4 linked regions of the Caenorhabditis elegans genome follow. The protein of the gene in region 2 interacts with the protein of the main gene of each other region in a biochemical or structural test. Each region holds a gene or a part of one and is shown on either strand. Other genes may lie near its edges.

The links.
Region 1: the proteins of dmsr-1 (region 2) and flp-33 interact in a test that uses a peptide from one of them, tested with the Caenorhabditis elegans proteins (one large-scale study listed by BioGRID).
Region 3: the proteins of dmsr-1 (region 2) and flp-19 interact in a test that uses a peptide from one of them, tested with the Caenorhabditis elegans proteins (one large-scale study listed by BioGRID).
Region 4: the proteins of dmsr-1 (region 2) and flp-32 interact in a test that uses a peptide from one of them, tested with the Caenorhabditis elegans proteins (one large-scale study listed by BioGRID).

Annotation. Positions count from the first base shown.
Region 1 is NC_003279.8:12,623,734-12,628,084, forward strand, and holds flp-33 (FMRF-Like Peptide), read right to left. Parts: upstream 1,506-4,351; 5' UTR 1,492-1,505; coding exon 1,337-1,491; intron 802-1,336; coding exon 696-801; 3' UTR 501-695; downstream 1-500. Other genes in the region: ntr-1 (G-protein coupled receptors family 1 profile domain-containing protein), read left to right, coding at 367-457; T07D10.3 (C2H2-type domain-containing protein), read right to left, coding at 3,009-3,182, 3,323-3,475, 3,516-3,614, 3,663-3,749, 4,014-4,172, 4,234-4,351.
Region 2 is NC_003283.11:11,436,794-11,442,668, forward strand, and holds dmsr-1 (G-protein coupled receptor dmsr-1), read left to right. Parts: upstream 1-1,976; 5' UTR 1,977-2,024; coding exon 2,025-2,095; intron 2,096-2,374; coding exon 2,375-2,691; intron 2,692-2,742; coding exon 2,743-3,002; intron 3,003-3,297; coding exon 3,298-3,765; intron 3,766-4,146; coding exon 4,147-4,332; intron 4,333-4,393; coding exon 4,394-4,624; 3' UTR 4,625-4,771; downstream 4,772-5,875. Other genes in the region: F57B7.2 (SCP domain-containing protein), read right to left, coding at 5,343-5,596, 5,873-5,875. UniProt on the Caenorhabditis elegans protein: G-protein coupled receptor.
Region 3 is NC_003284.9:10,602,581-10,607,067, reverse strand, and holds flp-19 (WANQVRF-amide), read right to left. Parts: upstream 2,383-4,487; 5' UTR 2,243-2,382; coding exon 2,185-2,242; intron 2,019-2,184; coding exon 1,906-2,018; intron 1,596-1,905; coding exon 1,497-1,595; 3' UTR 1,237-1,496; downstream 1-1,236. Other genes in the region: Tyrosine-protein kinase abl-1, read left to right, coding at 243-346, 401-484, 731-869. UniProt on the Caenorhabditis elegans protein: FMRFamides and FMRFamide-like peptides are neuropeptides. WANQVRF-amide inhibits the activity of dissected pharyngeal myogenic muscle system.
Region 4 is NC_003284.9:15,431,770-15,436,136, forward strand, and holds flp-32 (FMRF-Like Peptide), read left to right. Parts: upstream 1-2,017; 5' UTR 2,018-2,028; coding exon 2,029-2,099; intron 2,100-2,255; exon of another isoform or gene 2,256-2,452; intron 2,453-2,756; coding exon 2,757-2,845; intron 2,846-2,948; coding exon 2,949-3,034; 3' UTR 3,035-3,203; downstream 3,204-4,367. Other genes in the region: mocs-1 (Molybdenum cofactor sulfurase), read right to left, coding at 3,915-4,004, 4,144-4,251, 4,314-4,367.

The sequences.
Region 1 (4,351 bases), on a different chromosome or scaffold from region 2:
GTGAAACTGTACTACATTCTAATTCAAATATGCCTAGAAAGGCTTGAAATCGTTCCAAAATTCAAGGTTTCAATAAAAAAAATGTTGTCAAAACGCCTTAGAGTACCTGAGCCTGAGCCCCTTTGGTCAAAACTTGGCAGGGCTCCAGCCGAAACTTGACCTAGATCTCCCCTTCCCCATCCGACATCAATTTCCTCCCGCAAACAATAGCTATTCTGGTCTCCCCGACAATTGTATTTTGATGCCCGGTGACATGTCAATACGCACTTCCGATACACTTTATTATACCTTTCTTGTTTACACGTGGTTTTGTTCTTTCTTTGATTCTGGAAATTGTTGTGCAAAAAGAAAATGCTGAAATTCCAGTCGACCCGGCGGTGGAGCCGAAGAGGATCATGCTCCGACAGAGTTTACTATGGAGATGGCTGTGAACTCGGAATCCAATCGTTCTGATTAATTTATCAACTATTTATTTTTCTCACCCATATCAATAAAACATATTTGTCAATGCTCATCGTTTATTTTTGGCTTTAATTTTGCATACGAAGAGTGTCGGGGCCGCACCGATGTCAAGGGAAGAGGACAGAGAAGGAAAGAAGGGAACAGAGAAAACGACAGACACAGAGGAAGAGAGAGAAAGAGAGAGAGAACAAATTGTGAGAATTTCAAATTTCAGATTGAGCTGAGCATCAGGTTTAACCAAAACGTGGCTTTTGGATTCCGTCAATGGTGCGCAGGAATCCTGACATGTCCTCGAAGCCTTCCAGCGGGGCACGACGTTCCTTGGCTGGGAGGAATCGTCTGAAAATTAGGCTTTGAGAGAGGGAACGAGGACTGTTGAAAAGGAGCCTACTCACTAGAGCGAAGAGATAGTGAAGAGATCAGGAGCCTAAGCCTAAGCCTAGGCCTAAGCCTGAACCTAAGCTTAGGCCCAAGCCTGAGCCTAAGCCTAAGCCTGAGCCTAATCCTAGGCAAGGGTGTCAAGTCCCGTGTTCCGTTTGCCCCGTTGTCCCGTTTTTTGGGTGTTTTCACGGGAACGGGACGTCCCGATGTCCCGTTTTTGTAATTTTTACGGGACATTGACACCCTTGATCCTAGGTCTAAGCCTGGGCCTGAGCCTAAGCCTAAGCCTAAATCTTGGTCTAAGCCTGAGCCTAAATCTAAGCCTAAGCCAAAACCTAAGCCTAAGCATAAGCCTAAGCCTAAGCATAAGCCTAAGCCTAAGCTTACGCCTAAGCCAAATAAGTTTAAAAAAACATTATAGTTAGGGCAACGCGACTCATTCAGCAAGTCATATTTATACATCGAAATCTCCAAGATCTAGTTCCCAACTCACTTGATAAATTCCAGCTCGGCGTTGCGAGCTTGACGAGCTTCCTGTGCCAGCTCTGCGGCTCCACCATCGGCAAACGCGGCAAGACGTGGCTCTACCGAGAAGCCATGCACGGCTGACAGCAACACAATTGCGACGATGAGAATAAGAAAACGCATGGTAGGGGGACCCTGGAAGTTTTTATTTTTTTTTTGGGTGAAACAGTGAAAAAGCCCAACGAAACTTAATCTAGGCTCGGAACTCTAAAAAGCTCAACGAAACCCCCAAAAAGCTCGGAACTCGATTGACTTTCTGCTGGCTGCACAGCTTTTATACTATTCAGCTTACCTATATGTGCTCCAAAACCAAACACGCAGGAAACAATTAGAAGGCGTGGTCCCTCTCCGTCTTCTCCAAGAATGTAACAAATCTCAATCAAGACGGGTGACAAGTCAAGAGAGAGAGAGAAGGTAATTGTTCATGAGCTCTTTGATGGGCAGTTGTTTTCGGGTGGAAGCAAGTATAATGCTACAAATAATGGAGGAGGATGATGATGACAATGCCATGATGACGAAGTTCCTGTTTGGTAATTCTGGAAGGTCGTATGGAGTCTATTTCAGTTGTGACATTGGTTTGGTTCCGGTACCATGGCCAAGTGATATCATTTCAATATTTGTGTAGGCCAGATTTTCGATTCCTATTCCGGTGACCGGACCGGATCAAACTGTCACGCGATCTGTTCACTTTACTAAGAACCCATTATTCCTTAATCACGTGGATCGGCCGGTATCACACCTAGATGATATCATTCAATCGTTGTGTCACGCAATATGGGAAACCCATTAAGTTTTCCAGTGTAATTTGATTTTTTCTCGGAATATGTAACTTTAATTTTGGTGGAACAGGCACTTCCAGACCTTCTTTCGGCTAGATCCAAGTCCCGGTTGCTTTACCGGATCGGAGTGTCACGCGATCTGAAAATCTTAAAATTGAGACTTTTGGCAATGGATTTTTGTGCAAAAGAGCATGCCAGTCTGATCGAACTCGGAACTTCAGAGTCAATCCAGCTTGATTTAGCAGACACACTAAACACGCCAGTGTGGTCCATAGAAATGTGGTCTACGAGAATGGCGGGAGTTCAGATGCGGCGGACTTTTCAACTAATTTCGCATGTTTGAGAGTACACACAACTAAATCTGATTAAATCTGATGATCACATTTTTGTAGTTCCGCCGGGTCTTCTTATAATATACAGGTAATTTTGCTAAGAATCTTAGTTCTATGTACCCCTCCAGCCATTCGTAACGTCGATCTAGTATTAATGGGGCATATCGTGCAGTGACTCGGTTCTGGTAACATGACCGGCTCTGATTGTCACGCGATCAGGAGCCTAGAAGTTTAATGCAAGTTTCAGGTAATTTAACTAGATGTTCCGGCCACACCGCCGGATTCAAGTGTCACGCGATCTGAAAGTTCCTTATAGGTTTTTTGTGCAAAAAGTTAAGCAGAAGCTTGTCACGCAAGTTGGGTTTTTGGCAGTTTTTCTGGAAAATTTAAAATGTGAACTTTTACTTGGCCGGAGTAAAATTAGGATAACTGGATTGAATATGGTTCAAGCCCTAAAAGTGTATAGTTATGGTCTTTATGTAGTTGAAAAGGTATAAATATCATTAAAACAAGCAAGTTTATCAACTTCCTACATAATCTTCCAAAAGTAGTCCACTACTTCCAATAAGAGCTTGGCCATCTGTCGTGGCGTAAACGAGGAATGTTTCAGTGGGCTTGTTCGCTGATAATTTGTGAATTTCTCGTTGATAAGACGTTGATTCACATCAATGATCACCACAATTATGGATCGGTAGATATTGCACTGAAATTTTGAATATTTAGGAAAAAAAAACAAAAAAATTGCTTCAGTGGGGACTAGAACCCTTTTTATTTTTTTAACCAAAAATGGTACTTTAATAAAATTTTAATAATTTTTAGACCATTTTCTACCCAAATACCCACCACATCTTCGGGCATATTATTGAACGGAGCCTCTCGCTCCACATGCTCCATGGCTTCACGTAAAACTGGCAGGTTTCGTAAAAGCACGTCACGTTGGTAATAGCAATACTTGAATTGGTGACCACATTTGCAAGCAATCACTTGTACAAAAAACTGAAGGAAAAAAATTGGAAAAAATTGGAAAAAAACCAACCTTTCTATCAAAAAATTCACAATTCTGGCTTGCCACGTGGCTCTGAAACCCCTTGTTGTCCCGAAATCGGCGTTGACATGTGGTACACACATATAAGCCCTGAAATTTAACAAAAATAAAGGAAAAACTCTGAAAAAAGAGCCCAACATATGCTCGTTCCTCCTGCTTCTCCTGGTAGCGCAAAAAGTACTTGTAGTTGAGAAGTAGGTGCCTGGAGTCTAGGAATAGGTGTTTCTGAAAACTTGATTTTTAAAAATAAAATAAATTGAATTTTTTGGAGTATTTTGAGTCAAAAAAAAACTAGAAAAAAGCTTACAAATTAGATGAGTTATGGAAGTTTGAAACTTTTCAAACAAGAATTCTGAGAAAATTTTGGGTCTCACGAAAACTTATTTCCTAACAAGTTTCTTCAGAAAATTTTCAGGCTAAAAAGCTTTAAATTTTTCAGATTCCCAGCTTTTCCAAATTTTAAAATACAAATTCCCAATGAAAACTCACATAATGCTGCTCAAAAAAGTGTCGGATACACTTCTCATTAGTTTCAAAAATGTACTTGCACACCGGATCCGGGCACATATGATCCCGGCCGTGTAAATGTGCCACGTACTCGTTACGTGACGACCAAGTACGATTGCAACAGTTGCAGATGTAAACTGGCTGAAATTTGGAGCAAAAATTTTTTCCTTGATTTATTTTTTCTAAATAAAAATTTCCCAACCTTCAAAAAATGTTTCTGCTGATCCCAAGCTTCTGTTTCAACAGATCCAGTTCCTTGTAAATGCTCCAAAGCAGTCTTATAGTCTGAAAACCGTACTCCACAGCAAAATAGTTGGCAG
Region 2 (5,875 bases):
ATCCACTGTCACAAATTCGGTTAGCTTCAGAATTTGCATTTTTCTCGGTCTCAACATCCGTCGGTTTTTTTATTTGGCCCCGTACCTTCCATCTTTTTCTCCGAGTTTGATACTTCTTGTGGGTACTTTTTGTACTCTCACTCGTATCATACTTCTTGATAGGTCTTCTCAACTATCAACTTGTTTACAAGTTTGTAATATTTTTAGAATTTTCTGTTCTGTAAATATGTTTACATGTTGTTGGATTTTGATGTTTTAAGTATAAAGGATTTGATTGCATTGTGGAAACTTTTGGCGTTGCATTTTAAAGTTCGACGTCACAAAAAATAATTTTAAAAAGTAAAATAAGAGAAGTTATAATAATCCTTATTTTTCAGCTATTTTTCAATACAATTTAATACACAAAAATGATTTAACAAGCAATATAGGAAAATCCGACCTAACCGGACTTCCATCATTTTCCTTCCCCTAACTCAAAAGTAATTATGCTTAAAATTTTCAATACTTGGGATATGTTTGCCAGTGGAGTTTGATCTTGTACCTTTTACTTTTTTATCGTAACTTCAAACCGAATTCCGGCAAATATTTTCATTTTCAGCATAAACTTTTGTCGTTTTCTTTAATGATAAGTGCGAAAAATTCCTCTGGCACGAGAGTCAGCTCAATGAGTTTTTTTCCTGAAGTGACTCCGGAAATGGGTGCTCACCTGACATGTGGTCACGGATCAACACATGACTAACTTTGGAAATATCTATCCAAACCTTATCCGCTCTGTAATTAGAGTTGGAGCGCGCTAGGCCGCCTCACACACTTCCGAGCGCTGACCGAAATTTGGTTATATTCTGATGTTATTTTTTGTCGGGGAGAGATGCGTTGCACCCCGCTCTGCGTTTATCTGTCCGTGCTCAACATAAAAAAGGTTCTTTTTTTTGAGTAAAAAAGCAACAAATTCCGCCCATGCTTAGATACTGGGCCCATCATGGCGGCGAACGGAAGGACTAGGAAGCGAGGCTTGTTTTGAGTTTCTTTTAGTGATCGAATAGCGGTTGGAAGTAGATACGGATATTGCACATATATATATATATATATATATATATATATATATATATATATGTGTGTGTTTTGAAGTGAAGAGACAGTGAAATAGTGACAAAAAGCTGTTGAGATATCCATTTAGGTTTTTGAATTTTCTATTTTTCAAAATGCGTAACGTTTATGGTTTTTAATGACGTGATGTCTCTCTGAAATAGCGGGCATTTAAAAACAACTCTTCTTCCAAGTGATAGAAAAAGAAATAATTATCAATTTATTTTTCCAAGTGCCTGGAATTTGTGACATTTTCTTTGTAATCGAATACATGCTCAATTGCCGAAATTGTGTAGCGGCAAAAAAATTAATCAAAAAACGAATGTGAATATGAATTTGGTATAGTGCATATCAATTTTTCCGAAAATTTGTGTACTTTTGAATGTATTAATCTTGTTCAGTTTATGCAAATTATTCCTTCTGAAGTTCATTCAAAACTTTTTGGCTCTCTTTTTTCAATTGTACTCTTAATTTTCCCAGTAAAAAAATCATTAAACTTCCTGTGCTATTTTTATTTTTATATTTTCTGATTTTGCAACTCCTTCAATTTCTGAATAATGATTTCTTTAAGGAAGTTTTATCTGCAAGATCTCCCTAATTGGCAATAATTGGTGTTTATCTTAGATTTTTGAGCAAAAGCTTGCAGTATATTTTTGTTAGTTTTTTTGTTCCAAAAAAACACACTCACCCTATTATTTGAGTGTTTTTGTTTTAAAAAGTGAATGAGCAATGTGTTGCCAAATCTTTGTCCCTTTTGTCATTTTTTTCATAGTCATCTCTCATTTCTAATGACGTTTTCCGGTTTTCCGAATCGGAGCCGTTTTTCATTTGAACGCTTGTTTTCCTCATTTTCAACGTTTCAATATTAATAAATTGTTGTTTTTTTTCAGATGTTCAAATAGAATCAGAAACAATAGAACAGAGGAACAGCAAACAAAATGGAGTTTACCGAATGCAAAACTACATTTATTCATCTGCCCGATAAAAGTTTTTTATACGATGTTTTTGTGTAAGTTTTACTTTTGTGTCTCAAAAATCTTTCAAATAATTGCCCAGTACTGTTGTATTTGACGTATTTTCAAAAAGTACAGTTTATCATCATTAAAAGTTATCCTATTATTTGTAGAAATCATCCCTAAAAATAGCGAATAAAACCAAGTTATTGAAGAAGGTTATCTTATCTTAAATTATTGTGTCCTCAAAAGTGATGACCATAAAAAAGAGAGCCATTAATAAATATTTCAAGAGCAAAAGTGGAAAAAAGTGAAATTAAACGTTTTTTTTTCAGAAGTGTATATAATTTCTACCATCCTATACATGCCTACTTATCAATATTTCTATGCGTGTTGGGTACAATCGCTAATTTCTGTAACATCGTCGTACTAACGAGACGAACAATGCGAACGCCAGTTAATATGATTTTGACAGCAATGGCATCTTGTGATACAGTTGTGTTATTTTCAAATTTAATATACACAACACATTACTCATTTGTCGCTTTCAAGTTTTGTCATCCGAAACATTGGTCCTACTCTTGGGCGTTATTTTTAATTGCTCATGCTCATCTTTCATTAGTTGCACATTCTTCAAGTGTTTGGTTGTCAGGTAAGCTTTTCATTCTGAAGACAACTGTCCAACTCTTCGATTTTATTGCAGTTATGCTTGCACTTGTTCGATATGTAACACTTCGAAGTAGGGGAAATATGGGTGGTATGCAAGTGACGTTAAGGCATTCTTATTATGCCGTTGCTGTTACTGTATCCCTTGTAGCAGTGCTTAATGCACCGAATTTTCTGAATTACAAAATCAATGAACAGCCATTGAATGAAACGTGTACCGATTTGGATCCAATGTTCTGGAATTCGCCCGCGTATCTTCCTGGAATTGCAGACATTGCAAAAGCAAACAGCTGTCTGGTAAGATTTTTGAATTTCAGTAAAAAAAAAACAAGATTTTTGTTAAAAAATAATGTTTGACAAATTGTATACAAACAAAATTTCTCGAAAAACTTTTTTATTGGAACTTAGATTTATAAACTAAAAATTTTGGCAAGATCATCATAATATAACTTTGAAGCTTTGGATTTATATAAACCTTTTTGGAAATAATTGATCGATCATATGTACATATGATATCATGAAAATTATACAAAATAATATTTATCATCGTGATCGTCACCCTAGCAAAAACCAATTTCCTAATTTCCTGCAGGTCTTCCGGTTATCTTATTGGATATCCGGTATGGTATTCAAAGTATTACCATGTGCGCTTCTATCGTTGTTTGTTTGGCTCCTTTTACGAATTCTTCGTGAAGTGCGTGAGAATCGTCAACGTCTTCTCAAGAACTCGCAACATCGACCACCGAATCAAACGACTACTCGAAACGGACAAAGACTGAGCATTTCAGTTGCAGGCAACGAGAAATTAGGCAGAAATGGAAGCTTACGGGGGAGAGGAGAACGTGTCGATCGGACAACTCATATGTTATTGGCAATTGTAGCAGTTATGCTAGTGACTGAATTACCTCAAGGAATTATGGCTGTCTTGTCTGGAATGTGTTCTGAAGAATTCCGAATTTACATTTATAACAATCTGGGAGACATTCTCGATTTGTTCTCACTTTGCGGTTCATGTTGTTCATTCATCATTTACTGCTCAATGAGTGGACAGTTCAGAAATGTAAGTTTTGATATTACTTGAAAAAAATTTCAATGAGCGACATCTTTTCAAAATACCTCAATGAAAAATGTGTTGTATGCTGTTAGAAAATACTACAAACTTTCTCAACATTCGGTGGAACTTTCCAAGCGAATTTGTCTTTTTTTTCTTTGTTTTCTTACTAACATGATGTTCGGCAGCGTCTTAAAATGCGCTTAAGATCTCTACATTTTCCGACAATTGCGGAGTTGTTTTTACAAGAAAAATCATGGAAGTACATACTTTGCTCATTTTATGAATGTGTGTTTAGTTCATTTTAACACAGGGAACAAGCATTTTCATTTGATTTCTATAAATAAAAATTGGTTCATTTTCAATATAGAAAAATCATAAAATTTTTAGGAATTCCACCGTGTCTTTGTACCTGCAAAGGTGAGATGTCTCCGAATGTCATCGCCGTCGATTCGTCGTCCATCCGACGCCTACAGTACCACAAAAATGACTTTTCTAAAACCAAACGAGAAAAACGGAAATGGAATGAATGGAAATGGCACTTATTCGGAAGATACAAGGTCAGCAAGTGTTAAAGTAAGAATATCAACACATGTTTTTTCTACAAAACTTTTGAATAAGCCATGTTAATTTTCAGATGGTCGGAATCCAGGTACGAAGAAACAGTACGGAAATAACGAGAATGACTGGATGTGATTCAATTACTCCATGTTCTCCAATGCCAACATCATTTCCATCATCCCCACTTCCACCGATTCGAAGTGGAGAAGATGAATCCACTGATGAGACATCACATCTACTTAACAGCTCAGGACCCAACTCAACAGCCAGTGCTGATGGAATTCGTGGACACTTTCAAAACATTTGATATCAGAATTTTTTAAACACACAAATTGCAACACGTGTCAGAACAAAACCATTAGTATTTACCATATTCACGGGTTTCTATTTCAATTTTCTGATTACGTTGATTTCTTCTTAAGCGTGTCCTATTAATGAATCTTGTTTTTTATTAGTAACATACTTTTTTTTTAAATCTTTAAACTTTTCAGAATTGAAAAAAAAAATAAAGTAATTGTTCAGAAATTAAAATTCTTTCAATTTGCATATTGAGGTTATTGATTTATGTATATGACAACCTTTTATGAATGAAAATTGCAGAATTGGGAATATTGTATCCTCGGAGAACTTCAAACTAGCTCCCATAGTAGGTAGACATAGATTGATTTTCATAAGCATTTTTCTGGTTTAAATGAATTTTTTATCATGCCATCACAAAAATATTGATGGCAAACATGACAGTCGTATGTCACCGTGTAATTAAAACACTTACTTAAAAAGGATAATCTTCCAACTTGTAAAAATGTTTCGGCATAGCAATCTTTTATTTGTCAATGGAAAGTAATAGCTAGAGATCAATTAACCGACAAAGTTACCGGGTGCCGAAATGAAAGAGAAAAAAACAGAAAAGCTGACTATAATGAAAGCATCAAGTGGGGGAGAAAAGTAGAAGAAAACGCACAACCCGTTTCGGAATGTTCTTTTTCGGTTTCTGGCTACACAAATTGAAAAAAATAAACTAGTAGCTACTTGGAAACAACAGCTCTTTCTGGTGTTGAGATCGTGACGTGGCGTTTTAGTTGAGTTCCCAAGTTTCGAATTGGTGACATTGAACAATCTCTGGATGGAACATTTGAAGCAAATTCTCCGGGTGCATTTGAATTTCCCGCTGGACGATAAAAGCAGACAACAGCTACACAATTATTTGCTGTGTTCCAATACCGTGCAGCGCCAAGTTCTGTTGTATCTTTCCAAACAACTTGTGAAAATCGTTGACATTCTGAAATTAGAGACACTTATGAAATTGACTCGGACCAAGAGTAAGCTAAGATTTTAGTTCTTGTCTAAATATTATTTTTTAGTTGATTATGTTTTGAATGGGAAGTTGGCAGCCTTTGGGACAGCAAGAATTATGCGAATTTTTGAATAATATTTTGTTTATTTGTTAGCCTTATTTTGTTTATTTGTTAGCCAGTTCTGCTGATACAAAATGAAAATTTCAAATTTTGCCCAACTCAACCTATTCGAAATTAAGAAGCAAACTTCAAAAACTAACTTG
Region 3 (4,487 bases), on a different chromosome or scaffold from region 2:
TATGAGTTGGTTGCTTTTAGAGATTTTGAAAAAGGGACTCAAGTTAGAATTTGCAAATTTATGTTTTCCAACATAAAAGTGCAAATGCTTTTAGTACCAGAATTGTCAAAAGTCAGAAGTCAAAAATATTTTCAAATCATCATTCCGAAACCACAAATTTCAATCTATCAATTTCATTGACTTCGAATAGTACAATATCATTAGAACAAAATAATTGAGATTCGTCACTCTATTGCTTACAGGACATGATTGTATCGTTGCTCAAAGTAATCCAAAAGGAATTTGTGAATCTTTTCAATTTGGCGAGCTCAGAGATCACTGATGAAAAACTACAACAATTTGTAATGTAAGAAATAATTCGAGCCACGATTTTTGGATACAAAAATCGAGAATGTTTCAGAATGGCTGATAATGTACAAAAACTTCATTCCACGTGTTCCGTCTATGCAGAACAAATCTCACCGCATAGTAAATTTCGGTTCAAGTAAGTTACGGGAAAAAAGGCTGATCAGCAAAATTTTCACTATCTGGTAAACCATTAATGTTTTTTGAATTCAAATTATTTAGAACGCATATAAAAGAGAATATGTTTTGATCTTTTTTTTCACTTTTTATTCTGACCTAAAATTGTAGCATTGAAACTGATGATTTGAAAAACACTAAAAACGAATTCACAAACTATTATGGAAACTTCTTTGCCAACTTTGAATGTTTCACATTTCAATTTCAGAGAACTTCTTTCTCAACTTGAAATCTACAATCGACAAATTAAATTTTCCCACAACCCTCGAGCGAAGCCAGTTGATGACAAACTTAAAATGGCGTTCCAGGACTGTTTCGACCAAATCATGAGGCTGGTGGATCGCTGATTCTTTTTTCTATTTTATCATGTTTGTTTCTTCCAAAACACCATAATATCTTTTCCGATTCCTTTTTTATTTTGAATCTGCAGCTGAAACATCAAGTAGGTACTACTGAATAAAACGTGTAGTTTGTCTTCCATCTACCATTTCTGATGAGATTATTCGTCTTCTTCAATTTTTTTTTTTCCTGTCATTATTTTTCATTGCACACTGAGTGCAACTAAACGGTGTACCGTCTTCTTTCCTTTTATCATTAATTTTTGACTGTTATGTGAACCTTTCTCACTTTTTCTGTTTTTCTTTTCATGTTCACTCTAGTCCTGCATAATTGTTAATATGCATCATATTATGAAATAAAATGCTTTCATCGATGTTTAACAAGTCGCAAACTTTATTGCTAAATTTTTGACAATACAAAGAATAATGGAATCGAATTGAGTAATGAGAATAAAAGCGAGTTAATCCAAAAGTGACAGAATTTGTATAGACGGAGAAGGTAAAACGTATATAAAAGGACAGGATGGACAGAAAGAAGGAAGGTGTGCTGATTGTCGTCTGAAGTCTGATTTGATGTGCGCAATTTGTTTGAGGTGTATTGAACCATGTCTGACCGTCAAAATTGTGCAAAGCCGGTTATCCGAACCTGACTGAGCTGGCCCAAGATGCCCTCTTACCGAACCTCACTTGATTCGCCCATCTCTTTTCCATGCTCTTGAGAGAAGGGTCCGACTGCTGCAAGAAATTGAATTGAACTTGTATTCCTTTCTACTTTTTGAATTCAAAATTCTATTTTTGAAACATGAAAAGGACTAAATGCAATCATATTTCACATTCTCCGAGTTTTCTTTCCGTCCCCAAATGCTTATTTATGTACCTCAAAGGAATTCTAGAAAAAATGATGCATAGACGTGAAGTGGATCAGAAAAAAAACTCATTATTTTTTGCATCAAGGATGAGACTACGGTGATACCTAATCCCATAACGAGATGAACAAACACACAAAATTAGTTGGGTTTTTGTTCCGCTCTGGCCCATGGCTCACCTCAAGATAGTCGTACAATGCCGAATCGTCGTTGAACGCCTCCATATTCAACGGTGAGTTGTCCTGAACGGCTTGCATTTTCAAATCACCATTTTGTGACTGAATTGGTTGCCCTGAAATACCTATTCATTGACTATTCTTCTGCTAGAACAGTCTAGACTCTAACACGTTTACAATGTTCTGTTGAGAGATATAGGCTTAGATTTGTGATATTAATAAATGAAAACAAAATTGAAATTGAACAAGACAAAGATAATTGTTAATAAAAAATAAACTCACCGACGACTACGGCAATTAACAGGAAAAGCATGGAAAACAGCGTTAGCTGGAAGGACATGTCGGTGCAATGAATGAAGCAGTGGTGGGCGTGTCCTCCTTGAGGCACGTTGAGAGCACTCGCGGGTTTTGTGGACGTGGCTTGTCAAAGACTAAGAAGCGATATCTACAAGGAATTCAAGAGTTTTCTATAGTAAGAATGAGAGACGACGCGACAAACCGGTGAAATGTGGGTGGAGCACTATGGAATATAGTGCTAATGAACCAAAAGTGAGAAGGATGGGAATGGGAGGAATGTCACCGCTACTTTTTAAGATGTGCAGCCTAGAAGTTTTTCCAGTATTTCGAGCCCGGAAAATAAGAAAGTGATGATATTTGAAGATATCCGGAAGCACGAAAGTTGAGGTGTGGGTTGCTTTCTCAAACCTACTTTATAATTCAAGGTAGACTTTTTTTTAGTTTCTCTTAGTTTAGATTTGAGATCTGAAATGTGGTTTTCCGGATATAAAAGAACAAGAAAAGAAAAATTGAAGTTTAATGCGTTTGTTTCAGTTCTCGACTTAGTTAAAAATAAAGAACGTTTGAGAAAACTTGTTATGATAGTTGTTCCAATTTTGCTGGCCAATTTCAAAAAATTGAATTTTGGAGATGTTATAAATTACTTTCCATTATTTCATGCGGTACAATGTTCTTGTTCTTAGCAATTCTACATACGGTCTAGACGCTTAATAACGGATTTGGTGATTTTTGGCATTTTTCTCAGTTAGTCACTGAACAGGTACCATGATAATTCTATATTATTTTGTGTTCAGTCTATGTTACCGCAGGGAATTCAAAGAAATGAAGTAGTTGTTACAAAACGGTTTGATAAGGTGTAGTTAATAAAACTTGAAAATTGTTAATACTTCTGAAAGCGAAAATTAAAAACAGTGTAACACTATTTTTAATTTAAATAATCCGCTTAGATATCAATAGAGACGCTGTAAAAATAAAACTTCATTTGTGAGCGGAAGTCTCATCAACGCTTGCGCTTGCAGGAAAGGAGCAAAAAATTAAACAGATTTCATTTAAATTTTAATTTGTTGCTGTTTTCAACCCATATCTCGCAGAGAGCTTCATGAATTTTAATGCTAAATTCTGTGTTGTGCCACAGAAATTTTTTATTCTAAAAAGTTAAAACACACCATACATGTGTTTCTTTTCCAGAATAGCATTTTCGAAAACGATTAGAATTTCAAATTTTAAATTCTCACTTCCTGAGGCGGGCTACCATGGAGCCAAAAAATCACTTCTATGGCGACGCTATGATTTTTCTATTGACGTCATTGAAAGCATTTTCATCAGAAGAGAAAGTTAAATTGTACTCAATCATAGAGAACTCGGCTGGGAAAACTCTACTACCATTGTAGTCATAATCTTCTGTCAGAACTTGTTATACATGACTAATGAATCATAAATCTCGTTTCAAATAATCAATCTCAGCTCTTGTTTTCCGATCTATCAAACTAAAACAATGAAAATAGACAATACACTGTATAAGTGTCATAAATCAAGATGCACATCCAAGTTATTTATGAACAAGGTTGAGTTAAATAAGAACAGTTTTTCGGAGGAATTGTTGGTCTGTATTTAAAAACGTTTACATTTACCTCGACTTTATCTGTTTTTATGATGATAATAATTTGTACATCACACTGTTTGTTGATGAGTTACATATAAAATATATCCAGTGCTTACGTGGAATATTATTATATTTTAAGTTGAAACATCTTTCATTTATTCTATCAGTTAACAGCAAACGATCAGGGATAAATAAGTGATAACATGTGGTTTCCGTTTTTTTCCCACGATGACATCAGTTTCAATTCCGATTTTAGTTTTAGGTTCTAAAGTTCTGACTTCGGGATTTGATAATCAAATTTGATGACGCAAAAGCATTTGAAAAACACAAAATTTGAGAAAAAACAAATTTCTTGATTTCAGTACAATTTGATTACAGTGAATGTGTTTTTTTTCCAAAACCACGTTTTGACTAGAGCCAACTTTTATAAACAATTTTCACTTGAAATAATGTATGGAGCAAATTCAAAAAATACATAACATAGTTTAAAGCATACAAGGTAACAATTATTTCGAGTTTATGAAAATACACGTCATTGATGGAATTAACCAAGCAAACATACGCGAATCAAAAAAATAGTTCCGAAATTAGCCGAGTTGTTGTGGAAGTAATCTTTGGGAAATTTAAAACCTCCGTTCCCATGAAGTTAAACTCGATTCTGAGAAATTAACTAGACCCAAAAATT
Region 4 (4,367 bases), on a different chromosome or scaffold from region 2:
TGTCGGTTTTCTAATTTAAAAATCGTAATAATAAAACATATTCCCCCCCCCCCCCCCCAATATATAAGAACTATCGTTCCAAAATGAACTACTCCCATAAGCTGTTCTCATGGTGGTTTTTTTTAATCAAGAAGATTAACGCAAAAATATAGTCTTCTTCCAAATGATTGTCAAAACATTTAAGGCTCGATCAAACGTCTTATACCAATAAATATTCATATAAAATTATTCCTAAATGAATAAACCCCTATGATTTTGGTAAAACCGCAAATTGAAAATTCTCATTACTTTTTGAACCTACCCAGAACTTGGAAAAATCACTGAGATGATTCATGTTTTTGTTTGCTTTTATCAAATATGTATAGAAATCCTCTAACCTTGGTTATGTGCTCTTGAGAGAATCTAGGATTTTTTTGCCTGCAAGCTTCTGGTTTTTGGAACACAAATGATATTCTTTTTTGCGAAAAGTTCACTGTTTGTCAGGCGTTCTTCACTTACTTAATTTATTTTTTCAAATAATTTCATAATTTAATAAATGTTGGAATGGAATGCGAGTATTTCTCAATTTTGTTGTGCTTTTTTGTTCCTGATCATAAAATTCTACGGAAATAAAATTGGAACGGTTGTTGTTTTCTTCCAATTTTTGAGCGCTTGAAAGAACACAAACTATAAGTCCGAGGCGCATCACAGAGTTCAAGTTTTTAAAAAGATTTTGCATTTCAGTTTTAGACCAATTTTGCTGGTTTCCAAAATTGAATAATTAGACTTATCCAATCTGTAGTAAAATTGCATTTACGGAAAATATTACAATGCAAGGCCGTAAGTATATTTTAAAAATTGAGTACGCCTGTGGGACTTTTTCAAACATTTAGTAATTATTTATTTTTTTGACTTGCTCACAGTAACTCATGGAGGCCAAAACCGGTTGAAAAAATTTATCCATCGTAAGGATGTTCGACAAATTTCAGCAGTTTAGATCAGCAAACAAGAATGTTTGAATGAAAGTTTGTTGGACGTGCCAAGCAATGCTTAGACCTAGGTAACTTTCGTGACCATTTTTGAAGATCACCTATTTTATTTTATTCACTATAATTTCCTTTTCACATACTACTTCGAAATTCAAAGCATTATTTTTCGTGTGGACTCTGAACCGATCGAGAACATTACAGAAGCTTATAACACTTAAGTGCTCTTAAAATAATGTTGTTTACCTTGCAGAAAATTCATCGAATACCTCCCAACAAGTATACACCTGAAATGTGCTCCACAATTGTCTTGTTGCACACAAAGTTCCCCCGTTTCCAACTATCGGCAATTCGTTGTTCCTACCTCGTCATTTTGTCTTTAAATTATCGGAACAATGGAACAAAAGAATAAGTGAGAAGTGAAAAAGAGAAAGATTCGTCTTTTTTTTGCGCTGACACTGTTGAAAATGTATGAGTGGGGTGTGAGTTGGCGGCGTCGACGAACATTGCCAAGACAAAGAAACGTTGGTCTGTGTGGTTCTTTGGTAAAACATTAACTTTTTGGTTAGTAGATAGGGTTAGGTACTCAACCACACACCAAGAATGAGGAGTTTCTCCTTTGTTCACGTTCAGATTTTTGATCGGCTTCGGCTTCTTCGTCCCGCGCCGCAATTAGTAATATTCTGTTCTCGACAGCTTATCCCATCTAAAACCCGGAAAAAGTCGGGCTCATCCTCCGAGCCGGAGACTCCGACATCACTTTTTGGAAAGAAATTACGTGTTCAAATTCAGGTTTTCGAAATGTAATGCGATTGCTGCTTCATTTGTTATTCGATTATATCGTTCCGTTCTCTGGCTCAATTATGGAAGTGTCATTTTGGTAAGTAACCCTCCCAGTACTAAACACACACTGTCATCCCTACGAAAGCACGACAAAAACAGTGCGGATGACACATGTGCCAGTGGCAGCTAAAGTGGGAGGGGTCTTCGGGTTGGGCAATGGGAATCTGAAAGCAGCTCGCCGAGTGAGTGCCACGCCCCACGAAGCCTTCATTCTTACGACATGCTCTCCTTTGTGCAAACCCTTATCCTCGCTCTCCTCTGCTCCATCGTCTTCGTGGAAGCCATGCCAAGGTGAGTGGAAGTGATAGGCATTAAGCAAGGAAACTTTTTTTTCGAAATAAATTATTATAAATAGGATTGCTAGCGTGGGCACGATGTCGTTTTAATTATGATTCTTTTTGCATCAAGCAAAATCCGCGTCATGGCTATTTAGCATAACCGAACACCTATGTACCACTATATTTCCCAAGCTTTCTTAGCTACAGCAAAGTTTGAAAAATTTCAAAATTTTGAATTTTCCAGTAGTCACTTAACTACCCAGGGAGTTCAATGCCGATTTGCAAAAGACAAAAGCGTTGAGAAGTTTGAATGATTACTGACATTACAACTCACAACTTTTAGCTTTTGTGTTTCTTTGAATACTTGTTTGATATAATGTTTTGTTAAGAAATCTTGAAAGAAAAAAAAAATTAAAAATCTATGTGAAGATAAAACCGGCAATAAATCAAGGTCTCTGGCATCTATAGTTTATGAGCAACGTGCGTACTTGAGGAGAGCAAAACTAGAATCAAATCAACCTGATTGACTCGAAAAAGGAATATATTTATAGCCTATAAACAAGAACGTGTAGATTTAATAGTAGTAGTCATTTATAAAATGGTCTCTGGAGAACTTAAAGAAAAAATAAATACGTCCCCAGTGGGGGGGTACAAAGAGTTTCTTTTTCAGCATGAGACCGGCGAAAAAGGCGATGCGCAACTCGTTGGTGCGGTTTGGGAAACGAGCCGATCCAGTTGGCACCGACGATGTTTTTCTAGGTAAGTTTTGAGCATTTATCAACACTACTGCTCGCCGATCAAGTCAGCGACGTCAAAAAATTTAAAATTCAATTTCACTTATTGAGTAAACATTTTATTTCAGGAGAGTCATACGGATCTGCTGACCCGTATGAATATGTTCCGGAGCGCATGTCAAACCGGGGGCCATCATCAGTCCTGCTCTACTGAAAGCCAATGCTTTAGGGAGGGAATATTTTCGTCTAGTGATCAACTCCAAAAAGCTAACCACACCAACCGTCGTCCTCAATCGTCTTCTCTCATTTTCAAGCATTTGTGTGTGTGTTTTTTTTTTCAATTTCTTCATTCAAGATATTGTTAATAAAAGTATTCATGTGAAGTTGTATCTAATTAATGTTTGTCAAAACTTTTATAGTTCTAATTAATAAAAAAAGTCAAAATTTTCCAAGCGGCCGACAATTTCCGAGTTTAACCACTCATTAGAAAATTCTATGATTAGGTATAGTGAGTAACCAAACTCGGAAATTGTCGGCCGCCGTTAAAAACCTACCCCTCGGAAAATTTTCAAAGTTCTAAAATCCGGACGAGCGGACGCCCAATATTCCAGCCCTATTTTTGAACAAAAGCCTGGTCGGACTCGAACTAAAGATACACCACTACCACCTGAACCCTCATTTTTGGAAACAATTGTTCGTCAATGTTTTCGGATTTATTTCAAGTTGATTTTATCTATCTTCTTCAAGTTTCAGAAAATACTCTGAATTTGCTAGTTTCCAGTTATTTAGTCTAGTTAACGTTGTCATTTCAATTTTTATTTTGTTTTGTCGTTTACTCTGATTTCTTTGGAATAGTTTTTCCTGTTTTTTTTTTCTATTAACCTACACACATTTTTTTGTGATATTCCCTATTGTGCTCCTTTCTGCCAATTTTTAGTTATTTGGTTGTAAAATGTAAAATCATACATCAATTTAATATGAAAATGACGTCACTATGTTCATAGTTAGTTCCGACTTATGGCACTACGTAAAAGACAAAACATCGAATTTGAATGCTCAAGTTTGTAAGTAATTTGATTGGAAACATTTATTTACTAATCAGTGGAAAAGTTAACAGACATCCCAGACTCCAAATATTGTCCACTCTCAAAATTAGTTTGTCGAATGTAGATTCCAAATGTCATCTGAAACTTTTTCTGTTTATCCAAAATTCGCAATCTCTACAGAGTTCTGTTGTTCGACTAGATGATCTTCTTTATACTATGGTACTAGGCTCTTGTGACTTTGACCCTATCATAATTTGATCTACGCGTTGTCTCAAACCTTCTGCTTATTTCTATAATCCCGTAATGCAAGCAGCAAACTGGGATCCTTCTCGCCTGTCATCGGATCCACACATATCATTTCACATCGAGTGCATTTGTCGACAACCTAAACCGGAACAAACATAATTAGCCTGTGAGAATATATATTTTCCATGAAAAAAACTCAACCTCAAACTCAAGATTCTCAATAGACAGCCGTTTTGCGGTGTCCTCAATAAAAGG